3 linked regions of the Macaca fascicularis genome follow. The protein of the gene in region 3 interacts with the protein of the main gene of each other region in a biochemical or structural test. Links are inferred from orthologs where the notes say so. Each region holds a gene or a part of one and is shown on either strand. Other genes may lie near its edges.

Region 1 (6,230 bases), on a different chromosome or scaffold from region 3:
CCACTACAGTGTGTGCAGAGGGTTGTTCCCCCACCCTCCCCAAACACACTCCTAATCCACAAGCGTAGGTCTAGCATCTTAGTAGTGCTAAGTTGTATTCCTAGCAGGATGCCAAAAATGGTGGCCATGCCCACTGGGCTCTACCTCATGAGCACTGTGGAGGGGGTAAGCTAAGTTGAGGCAATCTGACCCCGGAGAAGAACCACACATCTTACTCTGAGAGTGGAATGGACCATACCAGAGTTAGCATGATCACTGAGCCAGCTGCGTTCTAAGTGAAGACCAGGAGGCCATATGTTTTAGCATGGACACCAGCCCCTGAAATTCCACATGGCTCCCCAGGAAGGGCCAAAACGAGCCCCTTCTTAAGTGTCTGCTGTCATCTTTCCCCCTGGTCCCCACATTCCAGCAAACACTGGTAGTGTTTCTGATCAGGAACAGAGCATCATGGCCCCTGGTACTATGAGCAGTGACCCTGTTCTCTCAAATGTTGGTCCCCAGGCCCAGGGAACAATGTCAAGCTGCCAGCATCTCAATTACCTAGGAAGCTTTTTAAAAACAAAACAAAACAAAACAAAAAAACAAAACCCACACACACACAATGCCTTCTACTCTACTAAGATATTGTGATTCAGCAGGTTTGGAACAGGTTTGGGAGTCTACATTCTGATGGGAATCAGATATTCACAGGATGCACCATGCCCTTTAGAGAGCTGCGCTGGGACTGGAGCAGGGACAATGGGGACTTGCCTCCGAACCCCCTCATGATTCTCGATTTTGCTGATTATCTTGATGTTCTTTCCCTTCTCTCCCAGGACCTTCCTAACTTCATGGACATCAGCTGCCTTGCGGATGAACGACGCAAACACCATATCGACATCCTGCTCGACCCCAAACTTCAGATCCTGGATGTCCTTTTCCGACACAGCAGGCAAGTCCACAGCAGCCCCAGGAAGGTTCACACCCTTCTTGCTGCCCAAGGAGCCACCATTTTCCACCTCCGTCACCAGGAAGTCAGCACCTGTGTTTTGAAAAGGGGTAAGCAGGGGAGGCAGAGTACCGAGGGCACAGCTCAACAGGAAGCAGGCACCTTTCCCCCAAGCACAGTGAGCTGGGAAGTGGTGCATTATGGGTGCTGGAGCTGTTTTACCAGAGTTGAAACCCTACTACAACTAACTGTGTAATCCTAGGCAAGCCATTTAACCTCTCTGTACCTCACTTTCCACACCCATAAAAAAGGAGAATTAAGATTGTTTTGACTTTGGGAGGCCAAGGCAGGCAGATCACTTGAGGTCAGGAGTTTGAGACCAGCCTGGCCAACATGGTGAAACCCCGTCTCTACTAAAAATACAAAAAAACTAGCCAGGCGTGGTGGCGGGTGCCTGTAAACCCAGCTACTCGGGAGGCTGAGGTAGGAGAATCGCTAGAACCCTGGGGGCAGAGGTTGCAGTGAGCCAAGATTGTGCCACTGCACTCCAGCCTGGGCAACAGAGCGAGACTCTGTCTCAAAAAAGAAATATATGTGTGTATATATATATGTTCCTATGTTCTCCGGAACCAGAAGAATGTAACTATGCTGGATTAAAGCCTGTCTTTGAGGATAAATGAGTTATAAAAGGGATTCCTGAGAACACACAGACTCAATGTCACTGCCAGGCAACCAACCTTCCCATCTTCCTTGTGTCAAGGAACTTTAGAGACAAAAGATGGGTTTTAGACAATTGGATTCCAGCTCCCATACGTACCTTTCTGCTTCACCTGGAGAGAAATAAGCCCATCATCCACGTAGATCTTGCTGCCCACTTCCACCACCTTGCAGATGTTCTTGTAGTCCAGCCATAGGATGTTCTCGTCACACTTTTCCATGTAGGCGTTATCCAGCGTGATTTTGAGAGTGGCTCCCTTCTTCAGCTCCACCTCTGCAGTGCCGCTCTAGGGAGTAAGCAAGAGAGTAAGCCAGAGTCCAAACTGGAGACACCAGTAGCAGCATCACCGCAGAAGCAATGGAAAAGCTCTTTCCTCCAGGGAACAATGCTCAAGTCACCGCTAAAAATAATACAGTTTTTTGCTCTTATTCTCTAACTCAGTACACTTCACAGAAATAATCTAAGAAAATAGAATATAATGTTTCAGTTATGCTACTTAATGATGGGGAAAAAGATACAAAGAGATGGTTCCCCAAGTTAGAAAGCCTAAAGTTTAGGTTTTTAGGGTAAAAAAAGGGTTCCTCTGTGGTACCATTTCCTAGCAAAGTAAATCAAATCAACATTGTTTACAGTGATGAATAAATCCTCATTTGTAGACCTCAACTCCTCTACAGTCCTTCATAGTGCTGGGATGAAACACGGCATCTCAACGCTTTGGAGGACATGTCTCTGGGGCATATTGCCTACTGAGTCTTTCCCTCGCTCTCCACAGAATACTCACGCCCTTGATGAGCCCAGTTCGGATCTCAGGTCCTTTAGTGTCCAGAGCCACAGCAACGGGCCGGTAGAGGATGGGGTCAGAAGCAAAGCTTTCCGTGGCTGTGCGCACATTCTTGATGGTCTCCGCGTGGTACTGGGGAAAAAGAAGGAAGATGACAAGCGTGCTCCCACACTAGGATCCAGCTCAATTTCCCTGCCCAGGAGCCAAAGCTGATCACTCAGGAAAGGCCTGTGGATGTCTTAGAGCTCTATCTCCATCCTCAGAACGATCCATGCACTGAGAACTCCTCTACCTGCTTAATCCAATCTCCTCAGCCTCCACCCACTTCTACTACAGCAGTAATTCACCCTAAGGGCAAATCTTTGAAACGCTGGTGGCAAATTTCAGAATATTGCCACCAAAACCCATTAAGGTATGGGTGCAAACATGTCTCATCATAAAAGCAGCTGTGTTCCCAGGGCTGTTCTTTTTTCCCTAAGACTCATCAAATACCCTCAGCAAATAAAGCTGATAAACAGGGCAAAAAGCCTAGAACTTGTGTTTGGATAAGGCTGATCTGGCAATCAATGTCACATTCTGATATATGTGGTAATGCTGAGAGCTTTTCCTCTATTGATTCCAACTACAACGCAAACTTGAAGTTATTGACTTAAGCTAACAGTGGCCCAAGCTAAACAACTCATTGCTAAGGTCACACAGACCTGATTTTCTCAATCACTTTTTTTTTGGGGGAATACAGTCTCACTGTGCCGTCCAGGCTGGAGTGCAATGGCACAATCTCAGCTCACTGCAAGCTCCGCCTCCCAGGTTCACACCATTCTCCTGCCTCAGTCTGGGACTGCAGGCGCCCACCAGCAGGCCTGGCTAATTTTTTGGATTTTTAGTAGGGACTGGGTTTCACCATGTTATCCAGGATGGTCTCGATCTCCTGACCTTGTGATCCGCCCACCTTGGCCTCCCAAAAGTGCTGGGATTACAGGGGTGAGCCACTGCGCCCAGCCTCAATCACTTTCTAGATTCTGACTGGAGACGGGGAAAGGTGGTCATATGCCTTTCTCTAAATGAACTGCCCTTTATTATTCCTTGCTTGCAACAAATCTGTGCTTCAATCTTTTTTCTTAAGCCTTTCCTCCTTTCCATTTACCATTTTGTTTGTTTAAAAGAGGGACTCAGGCTAAGCACAGTGGCTCATGCCTGTAAACCAAACACTTTGGGAGGCTAAGGTGGGAGGACAGCTTGGGCCCAGGAGTTTGAGATGAGCCTGGGCAACACGGCGAAACCCCATCTCTACAAAAAACACAAAAATTAACTGTGCATGATGGTGGGTGCATGGGGTCCCAGCTACTTGTGAGGCTGAGGTGGGAGGATCACTTATGTCTAGGAGGTCAAGGCTACAGTGAGCCATGATCATACCACTGCACTCTGGCCTGGATACCCTACTATCCAAAGCAACACCCTATCTCAAGAAAAAAGATTTAAAAAAAAAAAAAAAAAAAAAAAAGCTGCAGAGCCAAGATGTCGAAAGAGCTCTAAGACAGCGTGATCAATATGACATTGCTGATAACAAGGGCACCTAATTCAGCACTTTCTGGGCCTTGTCCTTTAACCACCACTGTCCAGGAAAGCGGCACCTGCAAGTAAGCCTGCCTGTTATTCACAGGATGCTGGAGGGAGCTGGAGCCAGAGCTTAGCCTCTAAAGACAATGTTGCCTGAAGCCTGTATCTGAAAATCTTCAGCTTCTTATTCAGGCATACTCCCTAATGAGGGACCGTTGGCTTGTTCGTTTTTTATAGGGTTCCTTATAAATTATTATATTTTCTTGCTTACTGGCTTGTAATAGAAATAGAACAAAATAGAATTGAATAGAGGCTGGGTGCGGTGGCTCACGCCTGTAATCCCAACACTTCGGGAGGCCAAGGCGGGTGGATCATGACATCAAGAGATCAAGACCATCCAGGCCAATATGGTGAAACCCCATCTTGACTTAAAATACAAAAATTAGCTGGGAATGGTGGCGCGCACCTGTAGACCCAGCTACTCGGGAGGCTGAGGCAAGAGAACCACTTGAACCTAGGAGGCAGAAGTTGCGGTGAGCCGAGATCGTGCCACTGCACTCCAGCCTGGGCGACAGAGTGAGATTCTGTCTCTAAAAAAAATAAAAGAATAGAATAGAAATAGTTGTTTTCTTTTAAGGGGATGTGGTACCTTTCCTTCAGAGTTGATGTGAGCAGTAAAAGAATACATTAAGTATTAGGACAAAGTACATGGTAATTATTTAACAAATGTTACCTATTATTATCATCTTATAATGGTAAGACTCAGGTGGACTGAGTTCCACCATAACTGTGGCTTTGTTGGGATGTTATCATGTGGTAAAGAGTTCCACCCATCAATGCTGTCCTGCAGAAGGCTCTATATTTAGCTACATTTAGGTTGTTTAAAAGTCATCCTTAACTCAGGCCGGGCGCAGTGGCTCACGCCTGTAATCCCAGCACTTTGGGAGGCCGAGGTAGGGGGGATCACAAGGTCAGAAGATCGAGACCATCCTGGCTAACACGGTGAAACCCAATCTCTACTAAAAATACAAAAACAAAATTAGCTAGGCGTTGGTGGCAGGCGCCTGTAGTCCCAGCTACTCGGGAGCCTGAGGCAGAGAATGGTGTGAACCCGGGAGGCACAGCTTGCAGTGAGCCGAGATCGTGCCACTGCATTCCAGCCTGGTTGACAGAGTGAGACTCCGTCTTAAAAAAAAAAAAAAGTCGGCCGGGCGCGGTGGCTCAAGCCTGTAATCCCAGCACTTTGGGAGGCCGAGACGGGCGGATCACGAGGTCAGGAGATTGAGAGACGATCCCGGCTAACACGGTGAAACCCCGTCTCTACTAAAAAATACAAAAAAAATAGCCGGGCGAGGTGGCGGGCGCCTGTAGTCCCAGCTACTCGGGAGGCTGAGGCAGGAGAATGGCGTAAACCCGGGAGGCGGAGCTTGCAGTGAGCTGAGATCCGGCCACTGCACTCCAGCCTGGGTGACAGAGTAAGACTCCGTCTCAAAAAAAAAAAAAAAAAAAAAAAGTCAACCTTAACTCTACTTAATCTTAATGTAGAATTTTGTGCTCCTAGAATAAAATCTACTTGGTCATGGATCAAGACATTCCTTTCAATCACTACTGGATTTGGATTATTAAATTTTATTTGTTTTCTGCATCTAAGTGAGACTGGTCTAGCACGCTGTTAGTACCTGCCTGGTTTTGGTACTGTCCTTGTCTGATCTCAGTATCAGAGTATGTTGGTTTCAAAGAACACAGTGGGAAGATTTCTGTATTTCTCTAGGCTCTGGAACAGTTTAACAATGTAACTGAATTTTGAAGGGGAGACAATTCAGCCACTAAAATCGTTTGGACTTAAATGTTCTGAGATGAACCAGATCTTAGCCACTTTTTCAACTTTTTGGCTGGAGTGCAGTGGTGCAATCTCAGTTCACTGCAGCCTCCACCTCCCCAGGTTCTAGCAATTCTCCTGCCTCAGGCTCCTGAGTAGCTGGGACTGCAGGCATGTGCCACCATGCCCCGCCAGTTTTGTATTTTTAGTAGAGACAGGGTTTCACCATGTTGGCCAGGCTGGTCTCGAACTCCTGACCTCAAGTGATCCCTCTTCCTTGGCTTCCCAAAGTGCTGGGATTGCAGGTTGAGCCCAGCCCACTTTTTCAACTTCTTATGGCCACTGGTCTATTCATATTTTCTATCTTTTTGGCATTTAATCTTTTCTTGGAAAATAGCCAGTGTCATCTCTCTCTATAGGAATTAAG
Region 2 (6,230 bases), on a different chromosome or scaffold from region 3:
TGATGTCGCGGTCTGTGAGTTTGTCTCCAGTCACAGGGTCCACCATGTCCTTCCGAATCAGCTTCTCCACGCATTCGAGGGTGACCACAGCCCCACTGCGGTGAGGGCGAAGGTGGGAGACTGATCAGAGGCCGTCCTGGAGACCTACTGGCCCCAAAGCCGGCCCGCCCCGCAGGTTCCCAGGTGGTCCCTTCCCTCCCCTCCTAGGTGACTCACGAGGGCCGCAGCACAGCGCAGGGGGTGGCGTTGCTCAGGCTGTCGCGGGTCACGGCGCACACGTAGCGCTCGCTGCGCGTGATGAGCCCCACGCGGTCCACGGAGCTGTCGAGTGGTGTGAAGTGCACGGGCGTCAGGTCTGACATGCGCAGGGGCTTCCCCGACATGGGGCAGGTCACCGTGCGGGACTGCAAGGGGCGGAGAGAGGCAGGCTCAGTAGGCAGGGCTGGCGCAGGTGGAGAACGGGTGGTCCCTGTGCGTGAGAAGGACGCTGGGGGACCCTGGCGCCCTGGCAGCGAGGGGCGCTGTGGGGGCTCACCGGCTTCTCCAGCTTGGTGGCCTTGGCTTCGGGCGTCAGTGACGGGATCCAGAAGCTGGGCAGCACTTTGTCCTTGTCCTTACTTGGAGGACCCACACTGGGCCCAGGTTGGGCATTATCTGTGGAGGAAGAAAGGGACTCAGATGCCGCCCCCTGGGCCCGCCCAGCCCGCGGCGCCCCGCCCCCCAACCCACCACAAGCGCACTCTGAGTCACCTGGGCTGGTGCCCGAGAGGGCCTTGGCTGTGAAAGGGTTGAGAGGCCGGCTTACGATGGCGGACTCCTTCTCCAGGAAGCCCCGCACATGGTCCTGCGAGGCCGCCCGCTGAAGCTCCTTCTGCTCCTCCCGCCGGGTGCCCCGCTGCTTCTCGTAGGCCTGCGCGGGGCGGAAAGTAGGCTGAGCATCTGCCCGTGAGGGTGGGTTTGGACCACCCTCGGGGTTTGGAGGTATCTTCCTCTCATTTCACAGGTAGGTAAACTGAGGCCTACACAGTGGAGGCAGTATCTGGCAGAGGGTGGTAACTGCCTGGGCGGGTGTGAACCTTACTGCGTTGTATAGCCAGAGCGCCAGACTCAAAGCCCATCTCTGTCACTCTGTGGCCTGAGTGAGCACTATGACCGCTCCTGGCCTCAGTTTCTTCATCTGTAAAACAGGCTAACAGTGGTGACCCACCTCGGCGGCTCACTGAAGGTTACATAAGGTGAGTGTTTAAAGCATGGAGAGCCTCACCTGGCACTCAGCTAAGCGTTTAATTAATGTCACCTGCTGGCCAATTAGGTTTACTATACAGTGCATGCCCCAGACCGTGTTTGGGACGGGGGATGTAGACTCCAGGTCTAAGGGAATGCTGAGGAGCCCAGTCTACAGATGGGCAGGGAGTGAGGACGGGAGGAGTGAAGCCACATCCTGAGCTCAGGCCCGCCTGGCGCACAGCAGGTGCCTAGGCAGTGCTGCAGTTCGAGACCACCCTGGGCCACCCAGCTGAGTGAGGAGGTAACAGTGACAGTGATGGATGCTCAGGAGGGCCTCCGACATGACAACCAGGCTGTGTGGAGGACATGGGCACGGGGGAGCCACTTGCTCAGGACAAAAAGCCCAATAAGCACATGACCTGTAGTGTTTCCTCAGTGCCAACAAACAGGCAGGGGAAGAGGGGGACAGACCCACTGTGCCTCAAATGGGGATAAACAGGGCCCCTCCTACCCATCAAATGGCTTTGTCCATGGAAGGCCAGGCCAGGTTCCCAGTAAAACGCCTTGAGAATGCTCATCTGCCTGCACCTCCCAGGTTCCCTGCTGTGTCCTCTGATTTGGCCCTGTCAGCCCATTTTACAGATGATGAAACTGAAGCCCAGAAAAATGAAGTGATGTCGATTCATTTAGCACATCTTTTTTTTTTTTTTTCTTTTTTTTTTTAAACAGAATCTCGCTTTGTCACCCAGGCTGAAGTGCAGTGATGCCATCTCAGCTCATTGCAACCTCTACCTCACGGGTTCAAGCGATTCTCCTGCCTCAGCTTCCTGAATAGCTGGGATTACAGGCACCTGCTATGCCCAGCTAATTTTTTTTTTTTTTTTGTATTTTTAGTAGAGACAGGGTTTCACCATGTTGGCCAGGCTGACCTCTAACTCCTGACCTCAAGTGATCCGCCTGCCTCGGCCTCCCAAAGTGCTGGGATTACAGGTGTGAGCCACCACTGCCGGCCCATTTAGCACATCTTTACTAAGGACCTAAGCCACAGGGGGGAAAACTCGAAGTCCAGAAGGGAAAGTGGGCGTGTGTCAGACAGCCACAGGTAGAGTTACAACTATGCCAAGTGCTAACAGAAGAGGTGACTGGGGCAGATCCAGGGGACTGGCAGGAGCTCAGAGGAGGCAGCACCTGGGCTGAAATCGGTGAGGAGGATTTGGCCGGAAGCAGGAGGGGAATGGTGTACCAGGCAGAGGGAACTGAGACTGGAGGGCTCCAAGTGGCTCTGCCTGTGAGCTCAGACTCAAAAGCTCCTGCCTGCCTGTGCCTCCTTCTCCCCATCCCCATCACCTTCATCTGCCGGGCGATCTCCTTCTTCTGGTGCAGAATGTACTCCAGGATGGCCTCACGCTCATACAGGTAGCCATCTGGGCTGCAAAGACAGGGTGCAATGAGGAAGAAAGAAAGTGATCCTCCCGCCTCGGCCTCCTGAAGTGCTGGGATTACAGGCAGGAGCCATCATGATCAGCCCCAAGTTCAATTATTCGCTAGAATTCACAGAACTCAGCAAAGCTGTTACACTCATGGTGATAGTTCACTGCAGTGAAAGGATGCAGACTAAAATCAGCAAAGGAAAAAGGCACGTGGGGCAGAATCTAATAGAGACCAGATTTCAGCTTGCAGCTGTCCTCTCCCAATAGAGTTGCAGGGAAAGTGCTTCATTCTCGCAGCAACAATGTGTGCCACATGTTGTTGCAGCCAGGAGTTCGAGACCAGCCTGGGCAACAAAGTGAGATCCCCTGTCTACAAAAAACAAACAAAAAAGCCAGGTGTGGTAGTGCACCCCCGTGGTTCCAGCTACTCAGGGGGCTGAGGCAGGAGGATCATCTGAGCCTGGGAGATCAGTGAGCCAAGATCTCCTCATTGCACTCCAGCCTGGACAACAAAGTGAAGACTCTGTCTCAAAAAAAAAAAGAAAAAGAAAAAAAGAAACTGAAGGTGGCCTTGGGGGCCCTGATCATTACTGTCTTCTACAAAATATACCACTAATTGAGCACGTATTTAGTGCCTGGACTCAGCACCCGTTAAGCCTTTGTCCTACCATCACAGGCAGGTCATGGGAAGTGTCCGAAGGTGAGCTGCTGTGATGGCCTCGGCAGTGCTCCAAGAGCCCTACACCCCATTAGGAATATGTTCCTTTCCATCTGTTCCACACTATGAAACAGACACTAGGATCATGCCCATGTCCCAGGTCAGAAAACAGAGGCTCTGAGGATAAACTGCTCGTCCAGGGTTCCCTGGCTGTGCAGGTGGCCAGGCCCACACACACAGCCTCCTCCTGGTGGTTCCCTTGCCCTCCCCACCCAGACCTACCCATCCCTGTTCCCAGCTCACGTGACAACAGGATCGTGGCAAGGCTGCAGGGACAGACAACAGCAGTCGAAGTCCTTCACGGCATCCCGGCTCAGTCGAATGTTCTGGGTCCCATAGCCTGAGGCCGCTGGGGACAGAGAGGGGCAGAGTGATGGAGGGGCAGAGCGACAGGAGACATGCCCGTCTCCAAAGCCCCAGAGAGAGAGGCAGAGAGACAACGGGGTGGTGGGGGTGGGGGACTCAGAGAGAAACAGGCAGTTGGGAGCCGCTGTCTGTGTGCTGGGGCCATGGGCTGAACCCACAGGGAGGTGTCAACCCTGGAGGGTGAGAGGCAAACAGGCCTGGTCACTGAGTGGCAGCTCAGTGGAGGGGCTGACGGCTGACTCCCCTCCACCCTTCTGGCTGTGACCAAGCTCTAGTGCCTGTCCCTCTTTGGGCCTCAGTTTCTTCTTCTGGAGCATGGGGTAACAACAGCGCCATCCCTGACACTCTTGTTGGGAGGAGTGAGTTCATGCGCAGAAGGCAGGGAACACAGTGCCAGGCCACATGGGGGCGTGGGATCACCCGGCTGTTGTTTACATGGTCATGGCCATCAGTGTGTGTCGGGGGCGGGAGACAGACATCCGGCACGAGGGGAGATGGTGACTCCAAGACACATCCATGCCCCGCCCTGCCCTAGCCCTGCACCTGTGTCCTTCTTCTTCTCGTGGTAGGTGTAGACGGCCCCCGCGGTGCAGTTCTTGCCGTGCCGTGTCATCCTGGGGAGGAAGGGACAGTGGCAGGGCTGTGGTGACCGGAGGCAGGCAGCACAGGGAAGACCTCTACAGCCCTCAGAGCTGATCTGCCCCCTCGATGACTCTACAGCCCTCAGAGCTGATCTGCCCCCTCGATGGGAAAGCGGAGGTGGAGAAGCGGGGTGAGGTGGAGGAGAGGGAGGGCATGTGGTCACCAGGCCTCCTCCTGGAAGTCCCCCTTCCAGACTCACCTAGACTCATTTATATATGAAAATAGCACCTTTACCAACAGAATTCTTTGTTTGGAGGGAAGAGGGTGGGGATCCAGGGTTCAAATTCTACCCACTACTTCAGATTAGCTGGGGTGGTGGCTGTGCCATTTAATGGAGGCAGAAAAAAAAAGACACTAAGGGGGCCACTACTGTTGATGAATCCACTCCACCTTCCCTTCCCTTCTCCTATCTGTAGGCTCTGACTGAGGCCAAGGCGTGGACCAGCCCCGTGATTGGCTCAAGGCTTGGCACTTAGCCAAGGCTTGACCCAATCGCTGCGTACCAGTCCACTAGCGATTGGATCTAGCGTCTGTGATTATATCTCAGATCGACCAATCAGAGGGCAGGTCAGAGTAGGGCTCTGTGGCTAGGGGAAGAGCTACCTCCACTCCCACTGCGGGTAAAGGAGGAAGAGAAGACCCCAGAATCCTGGAGCTCAATTCAAAAAGCAAAACTTTATTCTGTAAGTTTTCAAACACATACAAAACCAGAATAGCGTAAGGAACCCCATGTACCCATGTCCTGAGGTCCAGCACCTGTCAACATCTTGCCACCCTACTTTGATACCTTTGATCATTCCCCATACTTGAGTGCAAGCCCCACCCTTTTAAAAGACTTTATTGAGACTTAATTCACATACCATAAAATTGACTTTTTTTTTTTTTTTTTTTTTTTTGAGATGGAGTTTCGCTCATGTTGCCCAGACTGGAGTGCAATGGCATGATCTTGGCTCACTGAAACCTCCGCCTCCCAAGTTCAAGCGATTCTCCTGCCTCAGCCTCCCAAATAGCAGGGATTACAGGTGCCTGCCACCACACCTGGCTAATTTTTTTGTATTTTTAGTAGAGATGGGGTTTCACCCTGTTGGCCAGGCTGGTCTTGAACTCCTGACCTCAGATGATCCACCCACCTCAGTCTCCCAAAGTGCTGGGATTACAGGCGTGAGCCACCGCGCCTGCCCCTGCATGCTTTTTTATCCCTTAAAAGGATTCAGAGCCAGGCTCAGGGCTCACGCCTGTAATCCCAAAACTTTGGGAGGCCGAAGCAAGAGGACTGCTTGAGTCCACAAGATAGAGATGAGCCTAGGCAACACAGCAAGATCCATCTCTATTAAATTTAAAAAGAAATAAGTTGATGGCCAGGTGCAGTGGCTGACACCTGTAATCCCAACACTTTGGGAAGCCGAGGTGGGGGCAGATCATGAGGCCAAGAGATCAAGATCATTCTGGCCAACATGGTGAAACCCCATCTCTACTAAAAATACAAAAATTAGCTGGGCGTGGTGCAGGCCTGCAATCCCAGCTATTCGGGAGGCTGAGGCAGAAGAATCGCTTGAACCCAGGAGGTGCAGGTTGCAGCGAGCTGAGATTGCACCACTGGACTCCAGCCTGGTGACACAGTGAGACAAAGAAAGAAGAAAAGAAAAGAAAAAAAAAAAAAGAAAGGAAAGAAAGAAGGAAGGAAGGAAGGAAACAAAGAAAGAATCTAGTAACATTATATACTAGTCTCACTCATCTCTAAGTTGCCACCTAAAAATTCTCCCAAGCTTAAACAGTTGCAAAGGATACAATTTCCAGCAACGTAAATGTGTAGCTAATGGAATCTAAATACTGTAATGATTTGAGAC
Region 3 (6,330 bases):
ATAATAAATTACCATAAATATAGTATGTGAAGACACATTTATTATCTCACAGTTTCTGTGGACCAGGAGTCCAGGCACAGTTTAGCTGTTTCCTTTGCTCGGGATCTCACAAAACTGCTATCAAGGTGTAAGTCAGGCTGTCTTCTCATCTGGAGGCTGACCTCTCTCAGGGTGTTGGCAGAATTCATTTCCTTGTAGTTGTATGACTGAGGGCCCTGGCTTCTTACTGGTTGTCAGCTCGAGGCTGCACTCAAGTTCTAGAAGCCATCTGCAGTTCCCTGGCATGTGGTCTTCTCCATAGGCAGTTCACAACATGACAGCTTGCTTCTTCAAGGCCAGCAGCAAATCTCTAGCTCCAGTTTGGAAAGACAGTCTTATATAATGAAAAGGAATCATGGAAGTGACATCCTATCATCTTTGCCATATTCTGTTGGCTAGAAGTAAGTCAAAGGTCCCACCTACACTCAAGGGGTGGAGATTATATAGGCAACACCAGGGACCAGAGATTATAGGGGCCATCTTAGATTTCTATCTAATATATACAGTAAGGTTAAAGATGCAATGTCCTAGGATCTAGCAGTTTCCCTATACACAGTAGAGATGTACAAGAATGTTCATAGCAGCATTGTTTGTGATAACAAAAAATACTGTTCTATAATTTCAAATTTCTCAAAATATAAAATGATATTGTCAGAGAGACATTAGCTTATAAAACATCATGTACTGTAAGATAACACTTTTGTAAAAGTAACATACATAGTACTTCAACTTCCAGCAATGGCCTACTGTTGTTTTCAATCAACCTTTCCACTACAGAGAACAACTGGACAAAATATAAAAACGTTAATGTACTGAAGAGCTACCAAGGAAGTGAGAATTTGTGAGTGCAAGATCTGGAAGAAAAAGGAAGCCACCAGAGGTGAGCCTGATATTTGTCATCATTTTTCCAAAGCTAAGGTGATTGCTGACTCTGAAAGCAGTGGCTGAAAAAGTGAGCAGAGCCTATGGTTGTCTCATGGGCCTTAGAAGGCCCATCAAAGAGAAGAGGCCCGAGTAAATAGCCCAGACTTTTGGATGGGACCATCAAGGACTAGCTAGGATTAAGGGTGAACTGGAAATAAATTAGCTTTCCCGAAGACTGAAGACCAGCTCTGAATAATCAATCTTACCTCCTTATTGGAATAAGGTGATCTGTCTTCAGTCTAGCTGGGGTCAGGCAAACTTGCCCTCAAGTCTCTCCTGGTGAACACACCTTCCCTTTCCCCAGCCACATTGCTCAAACTCAACTCTGATCTTAGTAAACACATCGCGGGAGAATGCTGATGCAGCAGAGTGAAGTCCAGGACAAATGAACATTGCATAACCTAGGATTCAGGTAGAGTGGTCCTCTGTCTTCTCCTCTTCCCTGGGACATTTATAAATGTACTAATCTACCTCATCTCTTTTACCTTGCTTCTTGGCATATGTTTTAAATCTATCTACTATTCTGTGACCCCTGCTAGGCTGGCTTCAGTTTTTCTTTTGAAGCCACTACTCCATTTGCTCCCCCAAAGAATTCCATCAAATTTAACATTAACAATCATTTGCTCCAAGTTTTCGTTTGAGAGCACTTGAGAGTAAAACGAGTATTTGTGTTTCATGTAGTTTCTTAATTATTATTATTATTATTATTATTATTGAGGCAGGGTCTCACTCCGGTTGCCCAGGCTGGAGTGTAGTGGTGCGATCTCGGCTCACTGCAGCCTCATCGTCAACTCCGGGCTCAGGTGATTCTCCCACCTCAGCCTCCCCAGTAGCTGGAACTTCAGGCGCCCGTCACCACCCCCGGCTAATTTTTGTATTTTTAGTAGAGACGGGGTTTCGCGATGTTGCCCAGGCTAGTCTCAAACTCCTGGTCTCAAGTATTCCACCGGCCTAGGCCTCCCAAGGTGCTGGGATTACAGGTGTGAGCCACTGCACCCGGCACTTAATTATTTTTGATACTACTCATACATTATCAAGCAAAGGGGATGGGACATAACTAAAAAAGGAATGTCCAGAAGCTTCTTGCATTCATGCTGCACGTGAGCCCTTTAGACACGAGGCGCTGACCTACTAATTTTGTAATACTCCCTCAGTCTTCAATCATTCCATCATTCATTCCATCAACGCGTATTAGTTACCTACTTTGTTAGAAGCTATACAGAGGTGAACATCGATCCGCCCTGGAAGAGCTTAGCAAAGACAGGTTTGCACATATAACTTTCTCCAACCTTTGTTATGGTCTGCAAACCTCCTTCTTAGCGAGACCCTCTCCTCTCCCCGATCCCCGACTCTTCGCAGGCTGGGCGAGAATCGCTAGGAACGTGCGGCGAGAGAGCGTTACAAGACTACGTCTCCCGGCAGCCTCTGCGGCAAGCGCCGGAGGGGCGCGCGTAGGCGCTCGGGCCGGCCCCCGCACGCAGGCGCACTGCGAACGCCGGCAGAGCTGAGTCTTGCTGCTAGGTGCGCGGCGGCGGAGAGCGAGGCCTGCTGAGCACCGCCGAGGCGCGGGCCAGCTCTTCGAGGTTGTGCGCGGGGAGCGGCACGGCGGGCGGGCGAGCGAGGGCTCACTTCAGCGGTGGCACCGGGATCGGTTGCCTTGAGCCTGGTGAGTGCGGGGGCTTTGCGGCCTCGGCCCCTCCCCCTCCCGCCGGCAGATCCGGGCAGTCCGGGAGGGACTCGGGGGAGGCCCTGGGGCGAGGGCGGGCGCCGGCCGGGCCTCGAGCCGCGGTGCCTGGGCCCGGACGCTCGGCCCGCGTCCGTGCGTCACGGGCCCTGCTGTCCTAACGGCCGCGCGGCCGGCGGAGGAGAGGGTGGGGGTGGGGAGCCCTGGTGTGATCGCCATCGGGAACGCCGGTCGAGGCGGGGCGGGGCGGCGTGGCGCGGCGGCAGGGCTGTAAGCGGCGCCGGGGACTGCGGAGTGCCGAGGCAGCGGGCGGAGAGGAGGCGAGCGCGGAGCCTGCGCCGTGGCTGGGCGGCGGGCGGGAGGCGGGGGTGGGCCGTGCAGAGCGCTCTGACAGAGGCAGGAAGGAGCAGGGGTGGCGTGTAAAATTTCTAACCCTGGCAAGAAGGGACCGTCTTGGGAATTCACAAGTTACAGCCCGGGTCGGAGCCGGCGGCCCGGAGGGAGGTAGGGGAAGCGGGGCGGGGGCGCGGGGAGGTGGAGACGACCGGCTGCAGTTTACAGATGTCATAACAACAGGGGCCTGTAGCGGCTGATTGGGGGTGTGGTAATTACAGGAATGACAGAACTTGGTCTGCACACCGCGTGTTAAAGTGGCGATGCGAGGGAAACAGCTAGGTATCAGATTAAGCTCACAACTGGAGGATAAAACTGAAGGATGACTGGAGTCAAGGGAGTCGTCATGAAGTAATGTTTTTGGGATTGGGTCATGTTCCACTTTTAAGTGAAAGCGTTCAAAATATTTCGTTTTTAAGGTTTCAACTCGGAACAAACGATTGCCGAATTTTTGTGTTTTAAAGAGATGGGGTCTCGCTATATTGCCCAGGCTGTACTCCCAACTCCTGAGCTCAAACTGGCCTCCTGCCTTGGCCTCCCAAGTAGCTGGGACTAGTCTCGGGCAACCACACCCAGCAATGCAGAGTATTTTTTTTTTCTGAAACGGGTACTCTCAAGTAATATTAACTTGAATTTCACCGTTTTTTCTTAAATAAACGGTTGCTTAAAAATCTCTATTAGTAGATAAGGTGATTTCCCCCCTCCTGTTTTTTTTTTCTTAAGAGATGGAGTCTAGCTTTGTTTCCCTGGCTGATCTGGAACTCCTGGCCTCAAGGCATCCCCCCCATTACCTGGAACTACAGGCGGGTGCCACCAACAAGGCTCATTCTCGACACTGTTTTTTTCTTAACTAGCTTTTGCATTTGTAATATTTTGAAAGCAGTCCACAAGTTATTTTTCCCTCCTTTTTAAAGATTAAAGAGATGAAAATTTAATTTTTCAAAGGAAAGTAAGAATGATTACTGTTGTATTTTTACTGAAATAATATATTCCTGGAAGGCACTGTTTTATGGATAGATGAGATGTAAGAGAAAGTAAAGGAATTAACATTTATTGAGTTCTTTTTCAGGTATTGTGTTAAATGCTTTATATATATATTAAAAACATTTAAATCTGAAATATCTGTTAATTTTTCTATTTTACAGATGAAAGCATTGACAATCAAATGTTAAGTAACTTACCTGAGGTCTTCTAGCTCTTATTGAGAACAACCTTAGAACCCAAAGTTACTGCCATTTAAATTATTTCTCTCCTTTCATACTTTTTCGTTGTGTTTTCTTTATTTAATCCGTTCAATCAGCGAATACTTATAGAGTGATCTTCTAGATTTGGAGGGATATAGTCGCGATCAAAACTCACTGTCACTGTTCTCATGGAATTTATAGTGTAGCGGGGAAAGCTAATATTACAAATATTGACTGCATAACATTTTATCAGTTATAGTTGAGTAGCAACTGTAAAGCACTCTACTAAATAGTAAAGGCAGTTGAAATGGAAGCAGACAACATAAGCCTTGAGGAATTTACAGTCCTGTAGGGCAACAAAACATACATTTATAAAAACCTAGAATAAACTAAATGGGAAAGGTATCACCTGAAATCACTGTTCTTGCATTATGTTATTTTTTATTTTATTATTTTTTGGGGGGGGGTGTGGAGGACTTGCTCTGTTGCCCAGGCTGGAGTGCAGTGATGAGATCTGGGCTCCCTGCAGGCTCCCTGCAATCTCCGCCTCCTTGGTTCAAGCAGTTCTCCTGCCTGAGACTGCTGGGACTACAGGCGCATACGGCCACACCCGGCTAATTTTTTGTATTTTAGTATAGATGGGGTTTCACCGTCTTGCCCAGGCTGGTCTCGAACGCCTGAGCTCACGCGGTCCGCCCTCCTCGGCCTTCTGAAGTGCTAGGATTACAGGCATGAGCCACTGCGCCCAGCTGCATTATGTTACTTTATAAAGTGGTTCTCATAGAAGTTTCTTCACAGAACTATGATTTAATATACATCTTATCTAGAACTGATACATACCAAAAGGGGCCATGAAAAACATTTTCTTCATTTATATCTAATGAAGAAATTTCTAATTTATTTATTGGTTCCTATAAAATACAGACCTTGGAGACAAATTCTTCCTAAGACCCCAGTATTAAGCTTTTTTTTTTTTAAACAGATGACTGGTTTTATTAGATTGTTTTGTAAGCCATCCTGTTTCTCCATACTTTTGACTGTCAGGAGGCTCAGAGCTGTGTTCAATTTTTATAATTTTCTTTAGTCTCAACTATGTTAAAAATTATTTTATACGTAATCTGGAATTGCTGTCAGTTGTTTCCTGGATTATTTTCTTTATTCTCTGTTGCTCTCGATGGTCCTTTTCCCTTTACATTTGAGAATAGGATTATATCCTATTGTTTTCATCTTCAGTGTTTTAGCAGTGTTTGTTGAATTAATGATAAAATAGAGTTTTAATGATTTATGAAGTCTGTGCTTTTAAGTCTGCCAGATTGTTTTTAGATGTATGAATACTGTGTATAAAATCAATTAAGACCTTTGATTGGTCTTGCAAGTAAAGATGACTGACCTAGTGATAAAAGATAACGCCTTGTTTTGTTTTAAGGTATCTTTGTACTTTGCATGGTGTTATGAATTTAGCCATAATACGGAAGAAAACATTGGAAGTGGTGAATAGTTAATTAGCTGATTTGGGCTGATTTCTCTCTTTTGCTGTGGTAAGCAGGAGATGGCCTCAGGCCAACTGGAGACCAGATAGGGCCAGCATTAGAAAATTTTGGAAATTTTGGAAACATTGGAAGAGTAGGGATGAAGACTATGGGAATGTATGTTTCTTTCTTTTTTTTTAAGATGTTACAAATCTACAAAACAGAACATGAAAAAATGGTTCTGTCCAAGTGCTGTAGACTAATTCGGACAGTTCTTGAAAGCAGGCAGTAATCCAGAATGTGGATAATGGGGATAATCTCCTTCATATAACAACAGTAATGCTGCCCTTCATATACAAAGATAAGTCTGCTTACTCATCATGATTGATTTTCTAGTGTGAGGAGGGATATGTGCTGAGTTGTCCATGAGTCCCTATATAGTCTGTGAGCAGCGAGGCAGCTTGGGGTCAGAATAGGCGTTTGCAGCTGAGGAACAGAAAGACCTGCCGAAAATACTATCTGTTGATGGGTCGGGTTCTGCATCAGTTGCTTTCACTTAATTGTTCTTGCAAAACCATTTTGAGGTGGTGATTACGTGTGCAAGGTGATTGGGTAACTTGCCTTACTTCACAAAGTA

What was found.
Region 1: the proteins of KPNA1 (region 3) and PKM form a complex in vitro, tested with the Homo sapiens proteins (2 studies listed by BioGRID). The link is inferred for Macaca fascicularis from reciprocal best matches to the Homo sapiens genes KPNA1 and PKM.
Region 2: the proteins of KPNA1 (region 3) and NOSIP form a complex in vitro, tested with the Homo sapiens proteins (2 studies listed by BioGRID). The link is inferred for Macaca fascicularis from reciprocal best matches to the Homo sapiens genes KPNA1 and NOSIP.

Annotation. Positions count from the first base shown.
Region 1 is NC_088381.1:49,041,394-49,047,623, forward strand, and holds part of PKM (pyruvate kinase PKM), read right to left. Parts: intron 2,560-6,230; coding exon 2,428-2,559; intron 1,933-2,427; coding exon 1,746-1,932; intron 1,022-1,745; coding exon 751-1,021; intron 1-750. UniProt on the Homo sapiens protein: Catalyzes the final rate-limiting step of glycolysis by mediating the transfer of a phosphoryl group from phosphoenolpyruvate (PEP) to ADP, generating ATP.
Region 2 is NC_088393.1:57,523,961-57,530,190, forward strand, and holds part of NOSIP (nitric oxide synthase-interacting protein), read right to left. Parts: intron 4,356-6,230; 5' UTR 4,355-4,355; coding exon 4,285-4,354; intron 3,725-4,284; coding exon 3,619-3,724; intron 2,657-3,618; coding exon 2,575-2,656; intron 911-2,574; coding exon 751-910; intron 655-750; coding exon 536-654; intron 405-535; coding exon 217-404; intron 96-216; coding exon 1-95. UniProt on the Homo sapiens protein: E3 ubiquitin-protein ligase that is essential for proper development of the forebrain, the eye, and the face. Catalyzes monoubiquitination of serine/threonine-protein phosphatase 2A (PP2A) catalytic subunit PPP2CA/PPP2CB.
Region 3 is NC_088376.1:160,730,347-160,736,676, forward strand, and holds the start of KPNA1 (importin subunit alpha-5), read left to right. Parts: upstream 1-2,463; 5' UTR 2,464-2,629; intron 2,630-6,330. UniProt on the Homo sapiens protein: Functions in nuclear protein import as an adapter protein for nuclear receptor KPNB1. Binds specifically and directly to substrates containing either a simple or bipartite NLS motif.